3 linked regions of the Tribolium castaneum genome follow. The protein of the gene in region 2 binds, or shares a complex with, the protein of the main gene of each other region. Links are inferred from orthologs where the notes say so. Each region holds a gene or a part of one and is shown on either strand. Other genes may lie near its edges.

Region 1 (4,168 bases), on a different chromosome or scaffold from region 2:
CACTTAATTAATTTCTGGAAATGTTTATTGAAGAAGAATATAAATTTTGTTATAAAATTCAATAAAACTATTCGTAAAACTAAAAGGATGAATTTTTATAACTCATTAAACTAATGTATTTACGTGATTTCTGGCAATTTTGAGTTATTTAGTTTATGCTTGTATTACAAAGCAACTTGTTAAAAAAAATAACTACTACAATTTTTTTTCTTTTAATTTTATTACACTAAATCTGCCACTAGCTGTTTCAAAACTATAAAAACAACAACGACGCACTTTACCAAATATTTTTTAAATAAGGTTGATAAAATTGTAAAATAGTTATTAATGATTAGATATCTCATTGAAAGTATAAATTACATTAGTTATTATTTTCTTCAACTGCATGAATAATTTATAACAGCACACATCACAGCAAATTTTGTGAGAAAATGTGACGTTGACGTTTTTATAGTTTTGAAACAGCAAATACAATGGTATAAAGGGGACCAAGGTTCTTCTTTAATATCAGACGATACCTAAGGTGACGGGGGCTATTATTAATTTATTACAGAAATAAAATGTAAAACACCCTTCGTGTAAATTATTTTTTGTTGCATTTGGTTTTTGAAAGCTTTTCATTTTATCTGAATCACATGGAGTAAAATAAAGTAGTCAATCTTGCTTGATTTCTTCTAAAACTCCCTCATATCATGTTTTAACGGTTTGGAAACATTTTTTGTAAAAAACATCTATCTAAGAAATTTTGAAATACAGTAAACTAAGCAATTTTATGTGATTTTTGTTGAATGCCTACAAAATAATAAAAAAAAACATTATGTGGTATAAACTAACGCACAACGTATTTGATTTCTTTATAAAAAAAAAAACGAGAATAAACTATTCAAAATTTTGGAAATGTGCCTATGGTGTACTATTATCTTAGTTGTGATGTGTTAGCGGGCATTTGCTCCAGTTCTGGGGGAAGATGAGGAGATTATCGTGTCAGCAACTTCTTGCGATCTAAAAAGTTGAAAAGTTGTAGCGAATTACGGCTTTAATTGTCATTGACGGATCTAATACGAAATTCGTTGGTAAAAAACGCGGATTAATTCCGGGAGTTTGTTTTACGACCACATTTCATTAAAATATTTGCGTTGCAATAAGCACAACATATGTGCCACCAATTCAAAGCACTCCAAAGTATCAAATCTTGATAAAGTTGAGAGTTGGTAAACACAAATGAATGGAAAAGCACTTGAATATTTTTATTGTTATTGTTATTATCAGACACGAGTTTGAATTGGGCGCCGGTGGCGTAGCCAAATATCCCTAAATTGGGGAAAGTAACGAAACTGTCAAGTTTTTGTTTGGTGCTGATGTATGTTCGAAAAATCGGTTTTTTTCCCTTAATTCGCCCCAAATAGAAAATGTTTACGAACATTTAACGTTAATTTCGCCCGAACTCATCATGAATCGCGTAACAAACGGTGGGTTGCGCGCCCCAGCCAAGAGTTTGACTTTTGACATTTACAACTTTGTTTACTTTTAAGGCAATTTAGCGATGCCACCGTCCGTTGTGGACAAATCCAAAGACTGGCAGTTGGAGATATTGATGGAGAAGCTGCGCTCGAAGGCGTCGCAGTACAAAAGCTTGACAGAGATATCCAAAAATGTGCGAATGGCCATGCTTGTAGGTTATGTCATGTCTGGCACTGCCTCCATTGATGCCCTACTTTCAGGACAAGCGCTACGCGTTGGACAGCGTCGAGAAGAGCCAGCACCAGAAATGCCTCGACACTCTGCAGCACTCCATCAAAGTGACGTCCTTGCAGAGCATGATCGAGCGGCTGGAGAGCTTGACGCGGCAGCTGGGGCTCAAGTTCATGGTGGGCCCCTCGGGGGTGGAGCTCTTCATCTCCTCCGACATGTTCTACCTGGAGATAGTGCTCGACCAGACGGGGGCCGTCAAAGACGTGAAAGTGCACCATGACAGTAAATTGGAGCAACAGAGTTGCGCTGAGCTCGTCAATTGTTTATCTAGTGGCGATTTTGCCGATTTCACTGCCCAGTTGGAAGGTTTTGCCTCGATTTACCAGCTCAATGCTGAGAAAAAGGTCAAGTGTAAGGCGTTCACAGCCTTGCAGTCGCTGGAGTCTGATTTGAGCACCTTGGCTCACTTGCAGTCTTTCATGAAGGAACCTTTCAACCTGCTGTATAAGTCTCCGGTTGGGGTGCTGGAGAAGCGCCGAGGGGGACACCCCATGAAACTCACCTATTTTGTCTCTCCTTATGATTTATTAAATGTTGAGAAATGTGATATTGAACCTATTACTGTTGATACGATCGTTAGTAAAGCGCTGGGGTACAGTGTGACGGTGTGTATGGAAGGGTCCGCTACACATAAGTTGCAAACGACCACTCTCATCACAGTTAATAGGAATATTAACGGGAAAAGGTAAAAATTATTAAAAAAAATTTTTTTTTCTTTGAGGGAAATTTATTTTAGTACGCCGTCTTTTTCATCGCTAAGTAGCCAAAATAGTGCAGCAATTCCGGCCTGTTTTGTCCTCAAATTAAACAAACCAATGCCAATGTGTGTCAATTTAGTTAGACAAATTCAACAAGTTACTGAATTGGATACTATAGAACAATCAGCAACTCATCCGTTACTTAGTTTAATAGTACATCACGCCAGTGAAGGGAAAATGGAGTCTGGGAACAATAAGGGCCTTTTTGTGGTAAGTGGTTGGCAATAATATTTATAAAAAAATGGTCATGTTGACTACTGATTCTCCTAGTTTGCGGTACAAACTTTTCGAGAGCCAAAAAATGGTAAATAATCAAAAATAATCTACTTAATGAAGTTCCTCTGACATTAAAAAATTCTAAAATCAGCAATTTTAAACATAAATACAAAATGTTTCTTACAAAATGATTTTTCTTATGTGTTTTTTTGCTCTATAATTTTGTTAAATAGAATTAGATATTTTATTATTATTATATTTTTTATTTTTTTCTTCAATCAAATTGTTTATTTTTTTGTTATTTCTCATTTATTGTCTGGGTCAAAACCTTGATCAGCTTTGCTGTCTTTTGGTCCACTTTGTGGTAGGAACAACTCGTAGAAAATTTTAATTTTGTTATCGTATTTTTTTTCTTGTTGTAATTAATTATATTGTAACTGTTTTACTGCCACAAATAAATTATTATTATTATATTATTATTAAAAAAACAATTAATTTCACGTCAAAAAATAGTTAATTAACCACCTCAATTCTTGATATATAAGCAGCCATTTCATTTTAACGGACGGGACACTATAGATTTTTTACCAATTTTTATCACCAGTATCAGTAGAAGTGAATTTTTCTTTATAGGAACTTAGTACCAGTCAAACAATTTGCAACCTACAATAGTCGGAGCCACATTTGTAAAATTTGAAATATGAGCAGGAAAAAGAATACAAATTGGTGACGGACGGGACACAAAAAAGACCTTACATTTTTATCGCTAAACAATCTTTATAAAATTCTGTTAATTTAAAAGGCACTAATTCTAAGAATTACTTTATAAATAAATGGTAGATTTTGTTGAAACTTTTGAAACCACGATTAATTTACTTTTTGTTTACACATGGCGGATGGGACAAAAAAATCTTGTGTATGAAAATAACTCTAAAAAAATTATTTAGGCAGGTTTTAATTATTAAAGATTTTAACAATATCAAAATTAGACTGGAAATTAGAAACTTATGTCCTGTAATTGTTTTTTTTAATTAATAATTTGAATATTTAATAATATATAAATTAATGCTTAGTCAAGGCATCCCTAATAATTTCTTCGAACCTTCTCCCAAATACAACGCATTCTTTTTCTGGAGTTTGAGGGGGTTTCAAATTTGAAAAAAATCTCAAAAAATTCACACGTTATTCACAACCTATCCTCAGCCTCTCTACTAAAATTTAATTAATTTTAAAAATCTTAAAAATAAATTAGTTTTAGATTCACAAGTTTTAATAATAACACTAAATCTAAATGTGAAAAAAATATGATTTTTTTGTTTTTATTTTTTTTTATCAAATCTTTTCTTTTAAGATTAAGGACCAGTTTCGCATTATAATCCCTTTTTAGCACATTTTAAAATTCTAAAATCCACTCTCTGAAAATAACATCGTGTTTTTTTTAA
Region 2 (2,633 bases):
GAAAGTAGTTAAAATACCAGGTGTCATCACTTTGGTAGACACCCCCTAACTTTTTTATTTAAAAAAGTATAAAAAGACATATTCAGGGTTTTAGGGAAAGGTTTAGCAATATTTTTTTAAGGATTTTTCAAGGCTGTGTAGATTGCTGTTAGTTTTTAAGATATCAGTCAATGTTTGGGAAAGTAGTTAAAATACCAGGTGTCATCACTTTGGTAGACACCCCCTAACTTTTTTATTTAAAAAAGTATAAAAAGACATATTCAGGGTTTTAGGGAATGGTTAAGCAATATTTTATTAAGGATTTTTCAAGGCTGTGTAGATTGCTGTTAGTTTTTAAGATATCAGTCAAAGTTTGGGAAAGTAGTTAAAATACCAGGTGTCATCACTTTAGTAGACACCCCCTAACTTTTTTATTTAAAAAAGTATAAAAAGACATATTCAGGGTTTTAGGGAAAGGTTTGGCAATATTTTTTAAGGATTTTTCAAGGCTATATAGATTGTTGTTAGTTAAATCTTAATTGTATTTTATTTATAAATAAATTACGGTAAATTTCCAAGTCTTTTATAATCGATTTTTTCAAGCTGAACCAACGGCCTCAACTGCTCGGCAAAAATTCTCATATCCTCCGCAATAGCATCTTGTCCACTCGGGGCCAAAACGGACAATTCAACTAAATAACTCTGGGAAATCGCTTCTACGCCTTCGCCCGGCTTACTCGTCATGCTCCCCATTTTGAAAATCTTCGACACTGTGATTTTCATCCTGCCTTTGCGGAACATGTACCCCCGGGCGATGTACTCAAAATCCACTCTGCATCCAAGCTCGGTCAAAAATTCAACAATTGTGGAACTGCAAGCCATGTCAATACTCGATCTGACGACTGTTGGCCGGTTCTTGTCGCCTAGCTCCTGTTGCCCCACGTAGCGCAGCTGCCAGGCGGCGTCGGGCACGTCGAGGGCTCGCCGGACTCGCAGTGGGAGCACCATGGGGGCCCCTGGGTTGGTGGCCCGGAGGGTGAAACACAATTCGTGGTCGTGGAACGACTCAGGGCCGCTGTCTACGTTGTCGCACAGCCCGCGCAAGCGGTGGAGGAGCACCTCGACGTATTGGTCCAAGACTGAGCCCTGGAGGAGGTACTCCTGGTTGGGGATTATGTTGCATTTGAGGGCGGCGTTTAGGGAGTCGATGGCCGTGCCAGGAGTCCCCATTTCTGTAACAGTGACAATCACTTTGCGGAAAACGGCCTATTTCCGACAATTACTGAAGATTATCACAGTTTTTGGAGGTTATGTTTTGATTGAAGTGTAAGTTGTCAGTGTATGTCGGCGGAGACAGCCCCAAAAATGGTGGTGGCACCATGAAAATTACAGTCGACCAGACAAGGGCTGCGCGCATGGAGCTAGCACCGTTTCCCCACCATTCTCGTTTTCTACAGCCAAGTTCACACCAGGAAAATTATCAAAATAATCGTAATTCATTATAAAAACATCAATAAGTTGTTACGCTGACTTGCATAACACATTTGTAGAACATCTCCTGACCATTGTAATGAGTTTCTATTACAAATTAAAACTTAACTGTATTTAATTTCTGCATTTTTTATTCTCATATTCAAGCAATGCAAACTGATTTTTTTTCACCCCCTTTATATGCAATTTTCTTTATTTTTGCAGGAGATTAAGCTCTTCGATAGGGCCTTTGACTGTTAAAAATCATGTTCGGACAAACACCCCTTGGGACCTTAATGAATTTTTAAAGATTCTTTAAAATTTTCCGATTTCGCAAATTTTATCTTTAAAAATTCATTACAGTATTCAGAATGGCCTCCGAAGGGCGAATCAGTTATTACAGGAAATGAGGAAAATAGTAAAAATAACGAATAAGAATTTTGCAAAATGCTTTTATAGAAAAGTTGTTGTACTTTATGTTTTATTACGTGGTAAACTTAACACACCTTAACATGCCCTTTATAAACGATTAAACGCCCTTTTTCATCAAAATGTTTAAGACGTAAAGTTCATTTTTGCCCTTTATACATTTCAATAAATCATACTGAAGTTTATGTCGTTGACTCAAAGGTAAATTTATCTGTCCATAACATATTCAATAGTAATTAATAACGCTCTAAAAGAGCAGAAACAGACACAAAATCCATAAAAATGAAAGATTTGACATTTCCAAATGATAACATAACCCTACTTTTAAAACCGAATTTTCTGGAGACTTAAATTTAACACAATTTGTGGCGATACCAGTAATTTTCACACCAAAATTTCACATCAACGGCTCGTTTGCACAAATAAAAGGAGGAAAATAGTGAAAATAATAAATAAGAGTTCTGCAAAATGCTTTTATAGAAAAGTTGTTGTATTTTATGTTTTATTATATGGCAAACTTAACACACCTATACATGCCTTTTATAAACGATTAAACGTCCTTTTTCATCAAAATGTTTAACACGAAAAGTTCATTCTTGCCCTATATACATTTCAATAAATCACACTGAAGTTTATGTCGTTGACTCAAAGGTAGATTTATCTGCCTATAACATATTGAATAATAGTTATAAACGCTCTAAAAGAGCAGAAACGGACACTAAAATCCAAAAAATGAATGATTTGACATTTCCAAA
Region 3 (4,246 bases), on a different chromosome or scaffold from region 2:
CTCTTGCTTGAGTTTCAGCTGCGTCTTGAGGGCCTCCAAGTGGTCCAGTTGCTGCTCTTTGCTGTACTCAATCCCGGGCAATAGCCGGATCTGCAAGGGGTTGGTAGTCTAAGATTCGAATTACGGTCGTTCTGCACTCATCTGTTTAACGGATGAAGCTTATTTTATCAAAAATGCGAGTAGGTAAAGTCCATTATTTATCTTTAATTGTTAGAAAAGTAATTGGTTCAGAATTCTTGTCTCCGGTTTGCCTATGGCATCAGGAAATTCCAACATACTTGGGCTTTTGAGGAAGGAGTATAAATAAAGTTTTTCAAGTTTTTTCACTTTGAATCATTCTAGGTTCATTTTCAACAATGTAATATTATTTAACAAACACAAATTTAAAAGTGTTGAAATTAGACAATCGAATTTTGCATGATTGTGTAAAGTATTGAAAATTAACAAGAAAAAATGAAAACTTAAAAAAATAAAGATCAAATAATTGAAAGTGGACGTGAGGCGACCATGCTATATAAAAATCAAATTAACAAAACTTGGACTTTATTTATATCACAAAATAGTTACTTCCAAGTCCCACTGATGAAATAATCTTCCGTCGTGACATACATAATGTTACCGTAAGTCGCACAAGTCTCTTTTAAAAGTCCCTTTTTTAATGTAGCTAAAGATTATAATAGCATCCATCGACAGTTCTAGAAATTGAATCTTCTTATAGTTTCAAGGCTGCAATATTTGACAAATAATTTTCCGAACAAGGACAGTCATGGGAATCTACTGGTTATTTTGTACTGGTTTGTTATGTCAATTTTTTTTTATTTTGTCTTTATTCATTTGCTGTATATTTCTTCTTGTTTGAAAGGTTTAAGTGGAAGAGCAGAGAACAGCAACTTTGCTGTTCATTTGAAACCACCTGTTTATTCGTACATATAACGGGTTTTTATTATTATTATTTTTCCTTAAGTTGTAGATACTAATCACCTGCCTCATCTAAAACTACTTTCAAATATACAGAGTAATTCAAAAGTACTCGTACAATCTCTCGGGTGCTGATAAAGGACATCAAACTGAATTAAAAGTTCCTATGACAAAAAATTGTTTGAGTCTTTTTTCACGAGATAGCTACAGCTCTTCAAAGTTAAATTTTTAAGTTAATTTTTTGATGCTTCGGACCATATTTTTTTGACCTTAATTAGCAGAAACGACATCTCTTGCAACATTAAACAAATACCTGTTGAAAAAAATTAACAAATAATGTCTAATTATGTGCAAAACAATAAAAAAACTTGTAAATTCGACAATATCTTAAATTCAACATATTAGGAAACAAAAGAGAAACAATCGATACCGTTGCTAAGGAATACAAACTTAAAAATATATAAAAAAATCTGACTTCATTTTTGTGCTTAACTGAACGTCTTTTATCACCATACGAGTGTTTGTCGAACATTTTTGAATCATCCTGTATAGGATATTTCCGAAATTAGCTACAATACAAACTTATTTTTTTAAGAATGTTCAAAGTTAAATTGGTTAACGCATGCAATTAGGAACGTAGAAAAATTATGAAGTTTGTTAAAAGTTGAATAACATAATAAAAGTTTTTGTTTTTATTTTTCAAAGATTATTAAATTGTCTACTTAAAAACAAAGTTTCAAATGCCTAACCTTTATAATTAAACAAATATTTGACTTTAAAATTTAATTTCATCAACAATGCAGATTATTCATGAGGATTACTGTTACCATAACCTTAGCAACTTCACCACGGATCATTTGTTGGAGTTTAAACAGGGATTTAAAAATTCGCCATAGATAAGAAAATTTTAGTTATTTTACTGTGAAAAATAACTGAAAAATAATAAAGTTATTATTAGCTGAAAATTTTACTCTTCGACTATTGAAACAATTGTGAATAATTTTTAATGACTTTTTTTAATGTTTTAAGTTAAGTATAATCTTTTGAGTAATCAGCACTTAACTGTTAATGTTCTTTAATAGACAATTTAAAGGTCTTTTAGATGCAAAAATAAAAAATACGGTATTTCATTTAAGTTTAAAGTTATTCAAATTTTAACAAGCCTCTTAACTTTTTTTATTTTCTTGATTGCAGTGAGCTAAAAAATAATTATATCCTTAAAGTTTTCTAACGTGGAACCATAACTTTTTTCATTATAGTGTAATTTGTAACATATTTTGCTCAATACTGAAGTCGTATTTGCTATTTCCCGCTTCAATTATCTGATTGTTTTCTCAAAAACTACAATATTACAACCCCACCTCATTTTCTCAAACAAGTGGACTGAGGTTGTTTTTCCCCTGTAGCCTTCAGTTGTAAAATACTGAAAAAAGGCTAAAATTCGACGCTTTTTAGCCCCCTTTACCATGGCCTGGAACATTTTTTTTAGGAAACCTATTCGCGATACAATCCTTTGGACTTTGGATATTATCTCTGATAAAAAGATATTTTCATCCGGTAACCAGAAGATAGTACAGTATGATCCTAATTCGTATCCCCTACTATGGGTATGAAGTGATTAGGGTGGAAGAAAGTTACCTCGGCTCTGGCTTGGTCCAAACGTTTTTGCAACTCGAGCACCTTCTGGGAACAGTCTTGCGACTCTCGTGCCTTGGCGGTGTTATCGTGGTGGTCTTTCTCAACACTGAATGATTATGCAAGACATTACGATTTTGCCTGTCACTAATTTTATCAACAAACCTGCGTATTATTTCGTAGATAATGGGCAAGATCTCGATATTCAAATTTTCCACCGTGACATTCCTCTCTGACTCCTGGTTGTGCTCGTCAGATTCCATCATAGCAAGGCATTTCCTGAATTTTCATTGAATTTTCTTTCCCACATGAATTTTCTGACACATTCACTCAGGGATTTTGTGTCCCTGGTGTTGGCGACGACGCCTCAAATGTCACAAGTGTCAATAATAATGTCAAACTAAAAACAACAATAATTTCTGATTTTGGAAAAACTTGGCAATTTCAAGCCCGCAGAATGGGTTCGTTGGCTAGCAGACAACACGCAGGGGTCGAGGAAGTGGACGTGGTGTCAAACCACGCGTACAAGTACCCGCCCAGGTCTGGTATGTCGCTTTGCTTTTTTCCGTACCAATTACCTTGAAGGCGTTTTTCTGAAGGGAACTACTTCGGGAGCCACTTTATAATGGGGGGCGAGCGCTTCGACACCCCCCAGCCCGAGTCTTACCTCTTCGGCGAGAACTCCGATTTGAATTTCCTGGGCAGTAGACCAACCCCTGTAAGTAGCCATTATGCGGTTGTTTCGCCCCCACAGTGCCGTTTCTAGTTTCCCTACCCCCCGCCCCAGCCTAATGAGCCCACAAAAACGCTCAAAAGTCTGGTGAACATCCGGAAAGAGTCGCTGCGGTTTGTCCGCGCCCCTGCTGATTATTCCAAACCGGCGGAAAAGAACGAGCGGGACATCAGGGATATTGAGCTGGGCAAGAGCTCGACGTTTAATATCGAGTTCACGTTCGATTGTGACGTCAGGTGTGCAATAACAATCTACTATTTTTGTACCGAGGAGTTTACACCAAGTGGAGTCACGTAAGTTGGGTTTTTGTCATGGGTTTGCAATTTTATGGGGTTTGAAGGTACTTGCCGCGTGACCCTAACACGACCTCCGAGACTTTTCATTACAAACGCGGTGCGAACCAACAGTTTTGCCAAATGACTCACGTTTTTGATCCCTCGAAGTACACAGAAGAGGAGTTGTTGTATGATGTTGACCGGGAGATTATTCCAATTGCCATTCACTGTGTGGCGGAGGAAGGCGCTGAGGGTTGGTTTGACCCGTTTTTGAATTTAATTTTTGAATTGATTGTTCCAGAAATGAGACAATCACACACAACTATCGCCACAGCCGAAAAATTGTCCGACGGTACTTATGTTTTAAAAGCTCTCAAACAGAAATTATTCGTTGACGGTCTTTGCTACCTCCTGCAGGAAATATACGGCATTGAGAACAAAAATAACGACAAGGTGATTGATTATTTACATGCCCTACTGGGCATAAATACACAGTGAAATCTCTCTTAACGGACACCTATAAGCGGAACTCTCTCACAAACGGACAATTTTGTTGGCACTAAGCCACAATAAATAATACACATAACTTTAAAACCTCTTCTGAGGCCAGAATCTAAATCAGTTTACTATTGAATAAAACATGTATTCTTTTTTTTCTGACGAATTGTCATAATTAACATGCTGT

Evidence for each region. Proteins that work in one complex are often made in the same cells at the same time.
Region 1: MED18 (region 2) and MED1 share a complex: the UniProt entries of both Drosophila melanogaster proteins name them as parts of the mediator complex. The link is inferred for Tribolium castaneum from reciprocal best matches to the Drosophila melanogaster genes MED18 and MED1.
Region 3: MED18 (region 2) and MED9 share a complex: the UniProt entries of both Drosophila melanogaster proteins name them as parts of the mediator complex. The link is inferred for Tribolium castaneum from reciprocal best matches to the Drosophila melanogaster genes MED18 and MED9.

The regions. Positions count from the first base shown.
Region 1 is NC_087399.1:8,918,190-8,922,357, reverse strand, and holds the start of MED1 (mediator of RNA polymerase II transcription subunit 1), read left to right. Parts: upstream 1-1,308; 5' UTR 1,309-1,450; coding exon 1,451-1,469; intron 1,470-1,532; coding exon 1,533-1,672; intron 1,673-1,721; coding exon 1,722-2,437; intron 2,438-2,488; coding exon 2,489-2,720; intron 2,721-4,168. UniProt on the Drosophila melanogaster protein: Component of the Mediator complex, a coactivator involved in the regulated transcription of nearly all RNA polymerase II-dependent genes.
Region 2 is NC_087394.1:9,286,505-9,289,137, reverse strand, and holds MED18 (mediator of RNA polymerase II transcription subunit 18), read right to left. Parts: upstream 1,421-2,633; 5' UTR 1,263-1,420; intron 1,212-1,262; 5' UTR 1,210-1,211; coding exon 541-1,209; 3' UTR 508-540; downstream 1-507. UniProt on the Drosophila melanogaster protein: Component of the Mediator complex, a coactivator involved in the regulated transcription of nearly all RNA polymerase II-dependent genes.
Region 3 is NC_087395.1:15,956,624-15,960,869, forward strand, and holds the start of MED9 (mediator of RNA polymerase II transcription subunit 9), read right to left. Parts: upstream 2,861-4,246; 5' UTR 2,820-2,860; coding exon 2,719-2,819; intron 2,663-2,718; coding exon 2,557-2,662; intron 91-2,556; coding exon 1-90. Other genes in the region: Mrgn1 (E3 ubiquitin-protein ligase MGRN1), read left to right, coding at 3,011-3,093, 3,139-3,271, 3,320-3,579, 3,627-3,814, 3,863-4,014. UniProt on the Drosophila melanogaster protein: Component of the Mediator complex, a coactivator involved in the regulated transcription of nearly all RNA polymerase II-dependent genes.